4 linked regions of the Rattus norvegicus genome follow. The protein of the gene in region 4 purifies or fractionates together with the protein of the main gene of each other region. This does not show direct contact. Links are inferred from orthologs where the notes say so. Each region holds a gene or a part of one and is shown on either strand. Other genes may lie near its edges. The genes, in order: Mtcl2, Clec16a, Cacybp and Rnf41.

What was found.
Region 1: the proteins of Rnf41 (region 4) and Mtcl2 purify together in Homo sapiens (affinity purification with mass spectrometry; 3 studies listed by BioGRID and IntAct, with this or other methods). This does not show direct contact. The link is inferred for Rattus norvegicus from reciprocal best matches to the Homo sapiens genes RNF41 and MTCL2.
Region 2: the proteins of Rnf41 (region 4) and Clec16a purify together in Homo sapiens (affinity purification with mass spectrometry; 3 studies listed by BioGRID and IntAct, with this or other methods). This does not show direct contact. The link is inferred for Rattus norvegicus from reciprocal best matches to the Homo sapiens genes RNF41 and CLEC16A.
Region 3: the proteins of Rnf41 (region 4) and Cacybp purify together in Homo sapiens (affinity purification with mass spectrometry; 4 studies listed by BioGRID and IntAct, with this or other methods). This does not show direct contact. The link is inferred for Rattus norvegicus from reciprocal best matches to the Homo sapiens genes RNF41 and CACYBP.

The regions. Positions count from the first base shown.
Region 1 is NC_086021.1:166,158,104-166,162,351, forward strand, and holds the start of Mtcl2 (microtubule cross-linking factor 2), read right to left. Parts: upstream 2,941-4,248; 5' UTR 2,801-2,940; coding exon 1,394-2,800; intron 1-1,393. UniProt on the Homo sapiens protein: Microtubule-associated factor that enables integration of the centrosomal and Golgi-associated microtubules on the Golgi membrane, supporting directional migration. Preferentially acts on the perinuclear microtubules accumulated around the Golgi.
Region 2 is NC_086028.1:5,627,769-5,632,254, forward strand, and holds the start of Clec16a (protein CLEC16A), read right to left. Parts: upstream 2,852-4,486; 5' UTR 2,684-2,851; coding exon 2,604-2,683; intron 1-2,603. UniProt on the Homo sapiens protein: Regulator of mitophagy through the upstream regulation of the RNF41/NRDP1-PRKN pathway. Mitophagy is a selective form of autophagy necessary for mitochondrial quality control.
Region 3 is NC_086031.1:74,978,208-74,982,630, forward strand, and holds the start of Cacybp (calcyclin-binding protein), read right to left. Parts: upstream 3,033-4,423; 5' UTR 2,882-3,032; coding exon 2,861-2,881; exon of another isoform or gene 2,670-2,860; intron 1-2,669. UniProt on the Homo sapiens protein: May be involved in calcium-dependent ubiquitination and subsequent proteasomal degradation of target proteins. Probably serves as a molecular bridge in ubiquitin E3 complexes. Participates in the ubiquitin-mediated degradation of beta-catenin (CTNNB1).
Region 4 is NC_086025.1:1,442,998-1,446,770, reverse strand, and holds part of Rnf41 (E3 ubiquitin-protein ligase NRDP1), read right to left. Parts: intron 2,299-3,773; coding exon 2,027-2,298; exon of another isoform or gene 2,000-2,026; intron 1,158-1,999; coding exon 1,022-1,157; intron 677-1,021; coding exon 573-676; intron 1-572. UniProt on the Homo sapiens protein: Acts as E3 ubiquitin-protein ligase and regulates the degradation of target proteins. Polyubiquitinates MYD88. Negatively regulates MYD88-dependent production of pro-inflammatory cytokines.

The sequences.
Region 1 (4,248 bases), on a different chromosome or scaffold from region 4:
GCTCAGGTCCAGACCTGGAGTAGTTGAGGTTGGGAATTCAGGAAGCCACTAGGAGCATCCCAGGAGACTGTCTCCACCCTCACCCACTCCACTCTGACAGCTAACGTCAGAAGACTTCAACTGAACCCCACCTACCTAATGTCCACACCGAGTTACGCCTTTGTGAAGACTTATACCCCCATTTCACTGAAAAAGAATGGAAGCCTGGCCTGGGGAAGCCTGGGCTACAAACAGGTGGTAAATGGTCCTTTGTCAGATAGACCTGTGTCCTCAAGTGTACAGGAGTTTACTAAGAACATGCTGGATAGAGGACCCAAAGGAAAGCAAGAGCAACACCCCAACACCCTAAGAAGAAGACACCCCCGCCCCCAGACAGTAGAAGCAAGGGGCAGTTAAGAGCTGCAGGGCAGACATGTCATTAGAGCACTGTCAACTCCATGGCTCCTGGCCAGGCCACTCTGAGTGCTGTGCCAGGCCATCGACTGTCAAGGGCAGACAATACTGCAGCATCTTCCAGCTGGGGCAGTGCAGCCCATAAAGATTCCAGCTTCCCATGCCAAGGTCAAGAAGCCAGCGCAGGACTGTCCCCATAGCTGCCACCGTGTCAAGGAAGAGGCAGCCAGATCATGGGCTGCACCTCGGTCCCCCGTCACAGCCGACTGTTTCTCCCAGACAGCTCTCCAGTCCTACACACACAGAGGGAATACCCCTAGTCAGCAGGGCAGTTTCCCTCTTCCCACAGGGAACACGGGCCAAGTCTGCCCAAAACCACTCTCAGAGGGGACAGAGGACAATATCCTGGGATTGAGGAAGTGGCCTCTGAACCAGTTCTCCCACGACATCATCCTCCCAGGCTGTGGGACCGTTAGACTGGGCGGAAGTGGACTCAAGCCAAGGGGATGTTCCCAGATGTCACGCTTTCAAATTGGATCCGCCCCAAAAGGCAGGCGAGGACAGGCCTGCCGGGGAGGCCCTGGGTAAGGACTTAGGATGGTGTTCTGCCTCTCCTTGCCAGGGGATAGCCACGGTTTCCCTGGCAGCCTGACACAAGAACATTGGTTCCAGAACGGAGAGCTGGGAAGGCCTGCTGACCTGGGGGCGGGGTCCTGGGCAGCTTAAAGTGGAGGTCAGCCTTGGCTGGCTATCCCAACTCACCTATCCGAGCATCCACTAAAACAGTTTTACCGCGGGTGGGAGAGTGCACATCGGGGTCCTTTAGTCGGTGTCTTAGCCATAATCCCCCTCACGAGAAGAGTGGAAAGAGGTGGGGCAGCCTCTCCCTGTTTGGTCAGCGTTAAAGTGGCTGCCTGTGGCCTCAGGCCCTGGGGCTCTTGAGCCCGGATGACCAGTCCTCCCCCGCCCCTGCGACTCCCCTTTTCCCCTAGGTCCCCACCTTGAGATAGTCGTTCTCAGAACGCAGCTCTTCCAGCTCCCGCATCAAGCTTCCAGTTCCACAGTCCAGCATCTCTTCGGTGAGGTCGGAGAAGGCTAGCGAGGCGCTGAGTGGCAAGCGGCTGCTGCCCACCGACGATGCGGCCACCGACGGCTCATCCGGGGAGGCGGGCGGCCGCGGAGGCTGCTGCCCCGACGGCGCGGGCTGGGGCGGCTGCCCGGTGCGGGTCCCCGCCGGGCCGCCCGCGGCAGACTCCGCGTCGCTGCTCAGCGCCAGCTCCAGGCCCAGCAGGCGCGCCTCCTCCGACGCGCAGTCCGACACCTCGGAGCTGCTGTCCGTGAGGCTGGGCGGCGGCGGCGGCGGGCGGGGCCCGGTACCCGGACGAGGGCGGCCCTTGGCGCGGACCCCCGTGCGCACCCCGGCCACCCGCGGCCCCGCGCCCCGGGCACCGGGAGCCACAGCGCGCCCCTTCTTGTCCGGTCTCGCCGAAGACGCCGTGCCACAGGCTGTAGCGGCACCCGGGCCTGTGCCGCGGCGGCCTTTGGCTAGGGACCAGCCGGCCACGTCCTTGGGCCGGGCTGGCGATGGCGCGCGGTGGCTCTTCTTCCTTTCCGCGGCGGGCGCGGGCGCAGGCGGGGGGCCGTAGCCTCGCGCCGAAGACTCTCCCGCTGGCGCCTCCATCGCGGCCTCCCCGGGTCTCAGCGAGCGGCGCGCATGGCCCTGGAGCGGCCGGCCTGGGTGTCCCTGCGGCGGCTCTCGGATGCACTCCCGCCGCTCAGGCCGCGACTGCGCTCCGGTCTCCTGCGTCCGGGGGCTGCGCTCGGGCCCTGCCCCACGCCGCGCGGCCTCTCCGCCACTGGGTGCTCGCAGCGCGCGGCCGGATCTCCTCCAGGCGCCGCGACTCCGACTCCGGCTCCGCCCGGTACCCGCCCCCTCCGCCTCGCCGCGCCCCCGGAGCGCGCCCGGACCCCGACTGCAGCCTGCTCGGCGATCGCCGCCTCGGACTCCCAGTCCGGCTGAGGCCAGGGCCCCGGCTCCGCCCGGCGCGGCCCGCCCCCCACGCAGCCCCGCCAGCTCCCCGCCCCGCTGCCTCGGCTCGGGGGCGCGCGGCTCGGCGAACAAAAGGCGGACGCGGCGGGAGCAGCGGGGAGGGACGCGAGCAGGGAGCGAGGGAGGGATCCGCGAGGCAACAGCGACCCCCTCGAGGGTCAGGCGGGCCTGGGCAGCCGCGGCCTCGGCTTGCTCCCGCCGCTCCGGGACACCGATCGCTCCGCTACGGGCTGGGGGATCACACCCGGCCCAGGAGCCTAGAAGCCCGGCGTCGCCGTGAGGGCCTCGTGGACGGCAGGAGAGAATATTCCCCGGCAGAGGCCCCGCGGACCTCAAAGGGCCGGAGCCAGCATCCATGCACACCCAGCACCGCGCAGCGCGCCCCTTGTGGGTGCTGAGCCTGCGCGAACTCCGCCCCCTTTAGCTGGGCATGACAAACGACCCCATCCTATAGAACCGTAAACTGAACACAACCTGGCACGCGGTCGGCTCTTGGTCAGCGGAGGAAGTAGGATAGACCCTGAGTCTCACGCCTCCGGAGTGTACTGAACTCCTCCTGCCTCTCTGTCCGCTGCCGTAGGGTCCGTGGCACCTCTCGTGCATCCCGGACTTTGCACACCCTAGTTGCCTGTGAACCCAGGCATAGCCTTGTCTCCCCGACCCCAGTTTCACAGTCTTTGAGATTAACTTCAGGCTGTGCCTTGAGGATGCCAGATCATTAGATGCTTGAGGGGCAGGTTCTAGGCCGGGTGGGTGTTGGCATGGGCTGAAGATTGTGACCCTGAATACTAACAGGGTCAGGTCGTCTCCACCCCATGGACTCAAAAGGCCCCAGTCTTGGTGGGCGTGGGTTTTTTTCCTCTTGAGCTACTCAGGGTAACAGAGTTGATTTCTCAGGGTCCCTCATACCCTCCTCACCTCTGCCCTCTCCTTACTGCGCCTAAATCATAGAAAGTTCTTTGGCCCTGAAAGGCACTCATCCGCATGGTGGTTGCCCAATCTTTTGCCACCCAGAAGGATAGCCCTTACACATGCGCGCGCGCACACACACACACACACACAGACACTATGCAGACTTTTTTTCTTCCTTTAGACCCTTCTTGGTCTTTCTCTCCCCTTCTCCTTTCCCCTTTCTTTTCCATGGGTTCCTCGTCCTCCTCTGCCCTCTTCTCTTCTACTTTGGCCCCTCCCCTTTCTCTTCCCCTGGCCTACAATATGACCAGCTAGTTCAAGGTCTACTCCTTTTTCTCTTACCCACCGTGCACCGTCCACGTTGAAGTACAAGCAGGGCCTGGGTAAGGTTGCTGGGCAGTGATTTGGGAACCCTCGGCTAGAGACCCCAGGGGAATGCTCCTACACCCAAGCCTCAGAGTCCAGCCCTAGCCTGGTCTAATATACCTGTGACACGTTCACTAGCTTGATTGTCCCTGCCCCTATGGGCTCGTCATTATGATACAGAGAGGTTGTGCAGTTCTTGGAAATTGTTGCCGGCTCTGCATTTTTCCTCCCGTGTAGAACCTGGGTTTTGCCGTGTGAGAGGGTGTGTGCCTGGGGCCATCCTCAGTTGGGTAAGCACTAATGCAGACCATGCTCCATTCTCCCCCCACACCTCTCTGTCAGGACAGGGGTCTCATTATATTGCCGACTGGCCTTGAATTCATGGGTTTAACCTTTCCAAACAGCAGTGGGACCACAAAAGTCTGTCAACCCTTGTCGATTAAGGAACTTATGTTTTTAAGGATTAAAGAACTTGGTTGCATTCTCCAAAGAGAAGCATATATATATATATATATATATATATATAT
Region 2 (4,486 bases), on a different chromosome or scaffold from region 4:
GACTGTGCTACGTACGTCAGGACAAGAATGTATTGGAGGCCAGCAAGGTGATGCATCCTGGAATCTCCCTGATCATGAGAGATCAAGGCAGAAGGAGCCTAATTCTTTGGCTTGGTTTTGTTTTAAAGGATTTGGGACTGTCACTTAATAACTAGGAAAGTGATCTGTTCTAGTTTATTTAAGACTTCCCTGGTTTCAGCACTGAAAATCCCATATTCTGTTCCCCCAAACCCTCACCCCAGATCTGGACGAATGTTAAGTGCTCATCGTCCTACACGTCAGCTAAAGCCTCTTTCTCTCACAGCCTCGCTTCCCATAGCTATGAGCTCCCACCTGGACTGGCCACAAACCTGACTATGGTACCCCTGTCTGTGCCATATGACACTGCCCCATTTAGGGGATCTCTGATCCAGTGCTGCCTCCTCCAGAAAGCGTCTATAAAGGGAATCTACAGGCCCCTGGGACTGCTACTGTCCCTGTATTTGACACACTGAAGAGTCCTGACACACTGTGGTCTCTTAGCAGCAGCTAGCAGACTCTCCAGGAGTTTGTCCTCAGAATGCAGGTGAAGGGCAGCACAAGCACTGGGGTAGGCACTAGATGTCTGCAGCCCTTTTCCAAGTCACCTTGGATCTTCTAAGACCCATGCTAATCAATACCCAGGTTCCCGAAGCTGTGAAAGGGATTAAACAGATCAGCCTGAATTAAGGCAGCCAAGTTCTTTTTCCCAGGACCTTGACAATGAGCCTGAGACATTCCCAAGATATCAGGAAGGACCCTGAGGCCCCTTACATTATCAGGTGTCCACTTGTTGGCCAGCAAAGATGTCCCATTATTCATCACATGCAGCCCAGTCAAAAGTTCCCTCAAACTGAGTTTTATCCACAAAGACATAACAAAGAAACAAGAGTTGAGGCTTGCCTTAAGCTGCCTGAATCTTAGCCAAGTCCATGTATACAGGACACAATCAAACCCAGAGACTTGTGATGACTGAAACAAACAATGATCCTTAACAAGGCAAAGTAACACATTAATGGGAATTTAAAGGGGCTAGAGTCCCAAGTTAGGTGAGAGCCAGCAGGTGCTTAGGCTGGTAGGAGGCGCAGCCCCTCAGGACAATCACCCTCCCCTGCACAGCCAAATCTGCCCACACATTCTTCAAATCCTTCAGCCACTCATCCACACCCCACTCCCTTTCCGGGCCATCTGCCATCCCAGTTAAGAATTCTAAATTGCTACCAACCCCCATTCTTGCCCTCTACCTCTTCCCTCTCCACACAAGGCAATTCACAAACATTTACTAAATCCTTGCTCCATGACTGAAGCGGTTCTATAGCCCATCATCAAAGGGGAAGTCCCATCTAATTTTTAGCCCGAAATCCTTTCTACGGATCCCTGTCTTCCTTTCTGTTTTTACCCCACCATTCTTCATCTCCATCCCTGTACTTAGACAAAGCTTCTGGGGTCCCTTCTGAAAACTGTTCTCCTCACCCCCTTGGCACCTCCATCTCCAGTTCTCTCCCTGGAGCCTCTCCTTTCTCTAAGGTCTCTGTCTTCTACTACTCTCTCTTTGCCTCCAATCCTCTGGAAATGCAACTGCAAAGAAACCAAGCAGCTTCTCCTGTCTTGGAAGTGTGAGTTTAACAAAAACTAAAAAGGACAGAAGCAGAGCCAGAGAAGACAGCAGGGGTGTAAGGAACGGAACTCAGAGACAGAAAGGGTTTGGAGCAGGCTGCGGAGGCTTCGATGCCTATGTTAGTGATGCTGCTGCACAGTGATACTGGATCAATCACTTGGCGCACTCAACATCACCCAATTCTTGTACGGTTCCTAGTTCCCAGCTGGTAATGGCAAACTGGAAGGACAGAGAGATAAAATATGACCAAAGCTACACAGTCATTAAGTGGCTGAGTCAGGATTTGAACACAGGTCTAACTCCAAAACTAGCCTCTTCTGTGTACTTTCCTGCGTTCCCAGGACTCTGTAAGCCTCCTGCCCTCTCTCAAAGTGCTACTGCTGACTATCCCTTTAGATTTCCTTCTGAAAATACTTGTGTTCTTTTAATCACTGTTCTTTTTAGAGTACTTGTACATGTTCTGTGCGTTTTGTTCATTCTCTTATCCAACCAATCCTAAAAATAACTACAAAAAGTAGTACTGTCACTCTGTTCATTTTACAGTGAAGGAAACGAAAGCCTAAATGTTAACTAAATTCGAATCCAGATCTGGCCGATACCCGGGCCTCTGGCCTCTAAACTATGCAGCCCAAGAAGTGCCACCCCAAGAAGCCCAGTGGCCACTGTCCGTCCCCTATCAAGATAACTCCAGTCCACAAACCGAAAACTCAAAGATGCCCTTCCTTTTCAGGTTAGGTTTCTAAAGACTGAAAAATCACGCGACGTGTCCAAGGTCACAGGGCCAGAAACGACAGGGTCAGGGTTCGAAGCCAGGTGCCCTGACTCCAAAGCCTTGCGGATAACCAACATACTACCCTCCCGCGGCGCCCCAGTCCTCCTCACACCTCCGCGCCCCGCAAGTCAAGCCCGCGTCTGGGCGTCCGCGCCAGGTCCCGCGGCCTCCCCGCCGCGCGCCCCGCACACTCACTTCAGGTGGTCCAAGGAGTGGATGTTGCGGGAGGACTTGCCGTGGCCCCCGCCCACCCAGCTCCGTGAGCGGCCAAACATGTCCGCAGACCAGCCCCGTCGCCTGCCTCACGGTTTCATGTCCGATCCGCTCAGCGGCCCGGTGCTCGTGGCGACATCTCAAGCCCAGCCGGCAGCGGCGGGGGCGGTGGAGAGACCGCCAAGCACCTTGATCCCCAGCCCACAGCCCCGCACTGACATTCAGCCGGAACCGGCCGTTCGGCCGCCGCGCTTTACGGCCGCCGCCGCGAGGAACACTGGGAAATGAAGTTCTTGAGCGAGGCTCTTGACGACAGGACTCTGCGAATGGACTACAAGGACCGGCATGTTTCGCGCGACCGTCGAGAGGAGGCGGGACAAGAAGAAGGGAGAAGGCGGGTCACTGTCAGGGTGGGCGGGGACGGTTTGCTGAAATTGGAGTATGACTTTCTGACCTTATTGATGTTAGTTTTGTGATTAGAAAAGAAAAAGAGTGTCTTGAAACCCCAGCTAAAATTGGAGACCATCCTTGGCAATTTGGCGAGGTTTAGTTCTCTTAAAAAATATTACGTGTGTGTGTGTGTGTGTGTGTGTGTGTGTGTGTGTGTGTGTGTGTGTGCGCGCGCGCGCGCGCGCGCGCGCACTTGTAGAGTCAGTATAACTTTGGAAAGAAGGCTCTCACCTTCTACCATTTGGGTTCTGAAAATCGAAGTCAGATCCTCAGTCTTGGCAGTATCTTTGCTTAACAGCTGAGCCATTTTGATGGGCCTAACTCTTTAAAAATTTCAAAGGGCTGGGAATGTGTTTATGTGTGACGGATTCAACCTTCAATATCTCAATAATAAGAATTAAAAATAAAAAAAAGCATTGAGTGGTACATATCATTTGTCACTATCCTAAGTGATTTATTATTTAATTCTTACAACCCTATGAAGTAGATGCTGCTATTAACCTTATTTTACAATCCAGGAGACTGAGTCACAGAGAAGTCAGGCACTTAACACGTGACAGAGGCAGGATTCAAGCCTAGGTACCCTTATTTGCTTTTGTCGACAAGACCAACCAGTAACATCCCTGTTTATCCTTAAAACCTTTTTCTTTTGCACTTTAGTCTTAAAACATTTTGTAAGGATGCAAGCATTAATGTAAACGCCAATGTGAAACTAACCACAATGGACTTTCAGAGGTTTCCTCCGGTTGCCATCCAAAATCCATGCCCCTTCCTGACTAATTCAGTAAGAAAGAAAGAGAACTCCAAGCTCTCCATGTGAGGATTTCTTTCCTGGATCGGAACTGGGGACCTCTGTGGAAAGCAAGACTCTGTGCCTAACACCCACTCATTTATTCATTTCTACATTCACAGCTATTTAATCCTTGTGGCAGTCCTAAGAACAGAATTGAGTCGGGGACCAATGTTCTCTCCAGGGCCCAGGACAAGATTTTCACATAGCAGGTTCTTAAATGAATATTGATAGAGTGAATAAATTTTGGCTTGCATTGCTTCCAAGAATTAGAGAAATGGAGGCCAGCATCAGGCTAATGGTTTCTCATGTAAAAATTATGAAAGGACAGAAACAGCTCTGACCACCAAAGAAAATGCCCCAGCCTCAGCAGCTTCAAGAATCTGTTTCTCTGGGATTTGGTTTCCACATCTGTGAAAAAAGAACATGCGGCATTGCCTTGTCCAGTTCCTATAAAGCTAAGTGTGACCATAGATTAAAGGCCTTTTAAGAGTTGAGGATAGGCCTTAATCCCAGCATTCAGGAGACAGAGGCAGTGGAACTCTATGAGTTCTGGAACAACCTGGTCTATAGCCAATTTCAGGGTAGCCAGAGGCTTCATAGTGAGACCCTGGTTTTGCAGGAC
Region 3 (4,423 bases), on a different chromosome or scaffold from region 4:
AATGCAGAGCCCAGTCCCAATGGAGGTATTTGCAGCATAACTCCTTCACCTAAGGTCTGAGAGGCTCAGATAACTGCAGAAAATTACAAATGTTACCATGTGGAGAAATGGTACCTTTTGTGCAATTCTTGTGGAAATGGTAGATTTTAAGAACCAGAGGATCTAGGAGCCTGTTCTGAGATTGTGACTCCTAGTAATTAGAAGTTACATCCACCCAAAAAATCTTGACATGAATGCCTAAACTTGAGCTGAACAAAAATAGACACGCTATTGTGGACAAGGAAAGCCCAGGAAGTCACAATTCTACACAAGGACTGGCCCCAAAGACAGGCTGAGGGCAGGAGAAAGTCTTCCCCAAGGAAAAGCACACCAATTGGACAATTAGTACCAAATGGTCAGCCCTGTTAGCTTCCCTACAAGTAACACTACAGAGACTATGTATGCAACAATGAGGGAAGAAAAGGGACAGAGAAACTTTCGTAGTTTCATATTGAAAGAGTGCAAATGGGAGGAGGGTTTGGAGTGAGAAAGGGGGAAATGATTTAGTTTATTATACTCTCAAGAAATAAAAGAATTTTAAAATCTTTTAAATGCTAGTTATTATAATAGCTCATTACTCTGTGGCCTTTATGATCTCATTTGCTGTACTAATAACAGCTTATAAAAAGCACAGCAGTGAAACCCTGTCCACAATCCCAAGGAAACTTGACTCTGAGATCCAAAACTGCACACTCATCTTTTGAATTTAGAATCAAGATGTTTCATTCAATGTTTTTCAGTGGTTTCAAAATTTATGTGGATTCTATATATCAACATAATAAAAATATTAAAAGTAAAGCAAATACTTATTCCTAGAATAGACTTACCTAACTAACGGAGAAGGTTAAGAGTTTTTGCTTTTGACTGGAATGGGAATCCTTTTTTCTAGCTGACTCATGGCAGAATTCGAATGTCGTCTTTACGGCCCCTTTTTGCTCTAATGGACTCTTGAGTAAGCTATCAACTGAAGTGACTTACAGAAGAACCATTGCTTGACTTTTGTATTCACAGCCCTGAGACCATGGACAGTGCAGGTTCTGCATCCAAACTTTAAGGTGCCAAGGATCAGTTTCCTGTCCACTTTTTCTTGTCTTCTTGGCATGCATTTGTTTTCTACATATAAACATGTATCCCCCTTTGATTCTGTTTCCTAGTTGTTAAATAGGGGCTTGGTCTGGTCTGGTGGCACATGCCTTTAGGTCTACCACTCTGGAGGCAGGGGTGGGTGTCTCTTAAGACCAAGCCATGGGTACTTAGTGAGACCTTCTCCCACCCAACTGCACAAAATGTAAGAACTCAACTTCTCTCCACAAAAACATGGATGGAACTGGACACACACATCTACAAAGATACACAGCAATCCACAAGGCGGAATTACACACTCACTTGGATGGTATCACATGAACAAAAACCACCCAAGAAAATAACAATGTTAGTGAATGTGTAGAAATGGTACCTTTGTGCAATTCTTGTGGGAATGGTAACTTCTTCCAAAGCTTTCTCTTATTATTTGGCAACTACAGGGACTAAAAACATGCCCACAAAACAAAACTTGTTTACTCGAATTCACATTCGTCAAGATGGAGAAACACGTGTGTGCCAGCAGATGAGTACGAATTGTACCTGTACAATGGAATACTATTCAATCATAAAAAGGAATGCTCTTCTGATACCACGGATGAGCACGGAAGGCTCCAATCCAGCTGGACGGAGTACCTACAATGGATTTCTACTTGAGGAAATAAAAATATTCTGCGACTAGGTAACAGTGATGGGTGTACGACCGAAAAAGTTGAATTATACACCTTAATATGATTGAATAAGATGAACTTTATCTCAAAAGAAAAACGTGCCCCTATATTCATATCTCCAAGTCTAAAGTTTCTTCCTTTGGAGACAATAACAAACTACACCTCCGTGCGCACAACTGTTAAGCCACTCTCCACTCTCCCAGAGCACATGGTGCCCGAGTCTACTTACTTGTTGCAAGATACCCATGTTAATACTTTAACATTAACTTCCTAATTTTTATGTGTTTAAAGCCGATGTCTTGCTTTTCAAAGTGAGGGGGAAATTTCCGAAAAGCAAATCTTAACAGATAGCCAACGTGTCTGTGAACACAATATATCAATCACATTAAAACCGATATAGGCCAAAACCCGGCAATTCAATTACTCTTGTTATATAGCTGAGTAAAACTTAAGAATCCAAAAAGTCATCCACGTTCACTTTTTACAAACCTAAAACCATACGCCACGCAATTTCCCACAGCTAAATTACCAATAATTTCTTTTAAATGCTTTTATAAAGATTGGGGGTGTAACGCAATGGTAGAGCGCTTCCCCAGCATGTGTAAGGCCTGCAGCTCCTCCACTGGCGCTGCTCAATAAAAACTAAAACCGCAAGCACTGCCCAAGGCGTTCAGAAATAACACACCGAATGTATATGGAATGAATGTGGCACCGTGGCTAGTCGTGCAGGCAAAGGGATTCCTTCCAATTGCCCCGGGCCCGGAGCTCAGAGCTTTTGCAATGAGCTTTAATTTAAGGAAGGTTCCTGTTCCCTAGCCGGTAACCGGGAGCCAAGAAGAGCTCAAGCAATAGAGAGGGGACCTTCACCCGAGAGCCTACCACGATCCGCGCCAAAAACTGGGATCCAGACACACCCCCGACCTTCCTGCCGTGGCCCGGACGCTCGGGGTCCAGGCAGGTGGCAGCGCGGAGGCCGTGGGCCCGCGACTGGGGAAGAGCTGAGGATACCAGCCCCGGGAAAACAGCGGCCACCGGGCGGTGCGAGCCGGTGGGTCCAGGCCGACCCCTACCTCCTCCAAAGCGGAAGCCATGCTGTGGCGCGTCAGACCCGAGGCCGGAGCTGCAGCGGTGCACTGAAGTAGACAGGAAAAGCCGAACACGGCACCCACGAGCGTCGCAGCGTCGGCAGCGAGCTACACCGACCCGGCGGGACTCGGCGGCCCGCCCTCCGCACGAGACGGCTCTGGAACCTTCGCGAGGCTCCACCACCAGCCCGCGAGGCCCCGCCCAGCTCCGCCCCGCCGAGTCCTGGCCCGCCCCCAGGGAGGTCGCTTAGCAACGTTCAATTCTCGCGAGCGAACGTGTGCTCTAGAAGCGTCAAACCATCCTTCTTCCGCCCCAGTGACTGAGACGTCATTCCGCGCCGACATAGCCTGGCTGCGCAGTCGCAGCTCGCAATCGCGGCCTGATTTAGCTCCGGAACTAACCTTCAAAGGTTTGGGGACCCAATAGGAAGTGTCTAGAGAAGGACTGCTTCCGCGGGTAGGATGCTAAGCTAGCCAGGCTGCCATTTTGTCTTCGGTTCCTGTGAGGTGTTATGAGAGAACAAAAGAGCACTCCCAAAGAAACACAATTAAGATTAAAAAAAAAGGGGGGGGGGGAGGGGACAGATTTGTTAAGGGAGGAAGGCTCCTGAAGAGAACACTGGCTTTTAAGTGGGCATTGGGTCTCCGGAGACGTCCTGTGTCTAGCACCTTTGACGTGGCGCCCTCTCGTGGGACTGTAGGAAGGCTGCACGGGCTACCTGGCAGTCTCCTAGTCGCAGTTGTGGGAAGGCGGCACATTTTCAAGTGGCCGAAATCTTCATTCTCCCTTGCCTTTGAGAGCTCTTGATAGTGAAAGGATATTAAAAGAATAAGTTATAAAATTCACAGACTCAGAGCCAAAAACTATAAGAAACAAATCCAGGCATGACGGGGCCCGCCCTGCTGCTAGGACTGACAGACCATAAAGATAAAGAAAAGGAATGCAGGAACCAGCCCGAGTTATCAGGATTGACTCATGAACCATCTGGCAGGAGGACATCTCCCCCAGCTTACTCAGAGTTCTACTTTAACCAGATGTCCTCCAGACCCTGAGAAGCCCCTGACTTCTAGCAAGTACTCTTCTGCTGTGTTGTAATCTCACTGCTATGTTTGAATGAGCCAATTGTGTGTAACCGCGCCAAAACCCCCTAGCTTTCCCTATATAAACCCCTGACTTTTGAGTTTTGGGGTTGACTCCTCTGTCTCCTGCGTGAGACACGTGTTGGCCCGGAGCTCCGTTATTATTAAACGGCCTCTTGCTTTTACGTCAAGCCGGTCCCTCGTGTTTCCTGGGGTGCGCCATCCCGAGACTAGAGCGAGGGTCTTTCAATAGCAGACTTTTCCATTGCCTTCTCTTAACAAACAGTTCAGATATTGTTTATTTTCATCAGGGTTTGGATTAAGTGATCCCACATAAAATGTGGAGAAATTCTTCTAGTTGTAGGAGCCCGGATTAATAAACCCCAGTGTAAAACCGCTTTTCAAATTACTTTAACTCTGACAGCATGGAGACGTCTATAACATACAGGAAAACAAGACAGAAAACAA
Region 4 (3,773 bases):
CACTCTGCAGGCCGCCTGACTTTCTTTCCAGTATTGGCTCAGAAAAGCCAAATCCTTCTCTAGTTGGGCCTGCTGTTCACGTCACTCACCCATACTCCATCCCCGAGTCTAGACTGTTATCCTTTGAAATCCCAACAATGCATGGTGCCTACCACACAGCAACCACTAGACTATCCTGAATGAAGAAATGTCTTCTACACTGTGGCCCTCAGACCCACTCCTCTCCACTTCCACACTCACAGTCTGGTACCCACTACACAGGCCTTCCGAATGGAAAGAATCTTATACTTCCCATGTTTACTTGCTTGGTTTGCTGGGTTTTGGAGACTGTCCTGGACGTCACTCTGCCCCTTCTCCTCTGAGTGCTAAGCTACCCCACTTGATCCTGAGGACCCCAAAGCTCTTAGAACATGCTTTGTACATGATGGCACTCAGCTAACTCTGGACTAATTGCATCCTCAGGCAGGATTCCCTGCCATCCATCCCAATGAACGAGTCTGCACTGGAGCTAAGGGTTTGCTCTTCTCTCTGGCCCTGCCCTCCCTCTAACTCTAACCCTGAGTGGAACTCACTCAAGGATCTCGTTGTACTCGATTGTCTCCTCCAGGTTCTGAAGGTTGGGGTTGACACTGCGGATGGCTCGCATATACGCCTTCAGCAACTGAATGTCTCGCTTCTGTTGGGTGGGAACAGAACCAAAGAGGACGCTTAAGCCAATCAGCGGGTCTGAGAATGAGCTGCCTGGGAGATCTGAGGAACAGTATTGTGTAAGTGTCTTCAGGAAGACAGGGAAAGACATAGCAAAATGGCTTCATGAAGAAGGCACTCCACATGTCAGATGACCGAATGGTTGAATGGGATGAAGGGAGTGAGGGAAGACAGATCCAACTGATTCTCTCCTGAACTGTGGACAGAGCAGGACACAGGCTGTGGCTGGTGCTCACGGTGGTATCTGGGGTGGGCAGGAGGTTATTTACTAAGGTGGACACGTCCCCTCATCCCCCTCGTTTCCTGGGCCCACCTGTTCTGCCAGCTGGTGCTTGTGTTCAGCAGATGTCTTCTCCAGCTCTGCGATGCGCGTCTGCTGCTGCTGGACCACGGAGCGCAGGTGCTTAATGCAATTGTGGTTTGGCAGCTCATCTTTGGGCATCTCCAGGCTGCAGTTCAGAATGAGACAAGAGCGGAACAGACTATTCAACAGGACATTAGAGGCTCATGGCTCATTCTGTGACAGAAAACTGCTGAGTGGCTTTCTGCGACTCACACTCTTAACAATCTTCCCAGTCCTTCCTTTCTTCGCTTTCCTGTTCCAAACATGCTCCTTGCCCTTATACAGAACTGGCACCCACACGACAGCATTGTGAGGGCCCGCCAATAAACGCCTCGAGACAAGGTCTCGCTCAGCACAGACTACCTTCCAGCTGGTGCTAAGGATGACGTTGAGTTTCTGCTCTCCTTCTCCACCTTCCAGTGCTGGGACTAAGGGTGTGATCATCACCATTGCCCCACAGTGCTCGAGACAGAGCCAGCTCTGCATACTAGGAAAGCTCTCCACCAACTGAGTAAGCAGCACACGCCCTACCCCCTCCACAGACTGTCCTCCTGTGCCCTTAGGGGCAGCCTGAACTAGGAGGGGAGCTGCTGTGTCGCTCCGGCTGCTCTGTGGGCATCCTACCGCACACTCCTTCATGAGGAGTCCTACTCCACTGCGCAGAGCACCAGTGTTCAATACTTCCCCCCTCACCACACCGGCAGCAACAGGCACAAGGGAACATGAAGGTGAGAGACTGGCATAGGTGACCTGGCCTGACAGAGGACATTGGTCTGGAGAGAAAATAAAGCACCTCAATGTCCAGTGCCACCAGAGCTCACTGGACTGCTGTCCTCTTCACAGTTGGAAAGTGGAGCTCTGTGGGCAGGCGGGCGGGCACGGAGCCCAGGAGGTCGGGGGCGGGGGGGCCCTTGCCTACAGGAGTGCAGTGACAGCGGGAAGGCTCGCCTGCATGAGTGGAAGGAGGAGTCTCACCCGCAGCCCTGCTCGCAGGTCACAGGCCGCTTCGGGTTGTGCTCACAGTCACTGAGGTGGGACATGAGGCTGTCAAGCCTGACAACAGCACTGCAGCCAAACACAGCGTTGTCACAGGCAATCTGCAGCTTTGACAACATGTTCCGCATGATCCGAGGCACTGGGCGCAGGTGGGCAACCGTGACAACGCTACGGTCTACCGGACACGTCTGCTGCTGAGAGAACCATTGGGTGATGCAGGCGTTGCAGAAGGCATGCTCACAATGAGGCGCCTAGAAGGGACACAGGGAGTTAGCGAGAGCTGAGACCCTGGACCCAGGAGTTACGAGGCCGGCAGTGAAGCCTGCAACCAGACTCTGGGGGCCCACGGTAAATGACAGGTGAGCGTTTTCAGGTCAGGTACAAGACTTGTTTCCTGTGCTCAGGGGCAGAAATGAGTTGAGACAAGACAAACAAGCAAAAGGTTCTGTAACAGTAAGAGACACACCGTCCGCTCCAGGTCAATGGAAAAGAGGACACAACACTAACACTAACAGCCAGCAGGATCGCATACATGATAACTGCTACGTAAGTCCAGAGGAAGATGAGCTCTGCAGGCAAGGGTGAGCGCAGCAGACCCATATGGAGATAGGTGTGTTCTACACACAGGGCTTCGAGAATGACTCAGACACAGCTTACAGCTGGGCAGAACCTCACTAACCACAACAGAAGTAAGAGAGAGCAAGGGCTGCATGTGGCCCTGCAAGTCGGTGTCCCCAGTTCATAGGCTGAGGAGGAGGTCGTCTTGTAAGCACCTGCCCTAGACGACAAGAGCTGCCTCAGAAAACAAAGGCAGCTGGAGAGGGGACTCCCAGGTAAGAGTGCTCACCACCAAACCGGATGAGGTGAGTCTGATCCCTCGGATCTCCGTGGTAGGAGAGAACTGACTGCTGCAGACTGCTGAGCTCCATATGTCCCACAGACTATGTGTGTATTCACGAGCACGTGTGCACGCTGAATGAGTATAAGAAGACCAATCCGGGCCTGCTGTGCACACCTCTAAGCCCAGCACTTGGGAGGCAAAGGCAGGCGCGTTTCTTTAAGTTCCATGGCAGCATGGTCTACAGAGTAAGACCTTGTCTCAACAAACAGTCCCTCCAAACTCTCAAACAAACAACTGGGGGCTGGAGAGACCCCTCAGCAGTTAAGAGCACTTACTAGTTTTCCAAGGATTGAAGCTAAGTTCCCAGCACACACAGCAGCTCATAACAATCTCTAACCAGTTTCAGAGAGTCCAACAGTTCCTTCTGATCTCCCCAGGAACGTACACACGGCATATTCATCCCCCAGCCCTTTCTTATCCACACGTATAAAAAAATAAAAATCTTTAAGTATTTTTTTTAAATGAAAGAAAAAAGACCCAACAACAAGCAAGGGGAACTGTGGTGAGAGGTTGAGATTTCTCTGTGAAGACTCAAGTTCCGTCTCTCTGCGGTCTGTCATGACCTTTCAATGAGTTATTGCCCCTGACTCGCAAACATCTGGGGCCCTAAACACGACTAGCTTTTTTCTTTTCTTCTTCTTCTTCTTCTTCTTCTTCTTCTTCTTCTTCTTCTTCTTCTTCTTCTTCTTCTTCTTCTTCTCCTTCTCCTTCTCCTTCTCCTTCTCCTTCTTCTTCTTTTCTTTTTGTGCAATGACAAATTTCAGTTTCATAAATATCATGGGGGGGGGCAGTGTTCCAGAACTCAGAAGGCAGGAGGATCCCAAG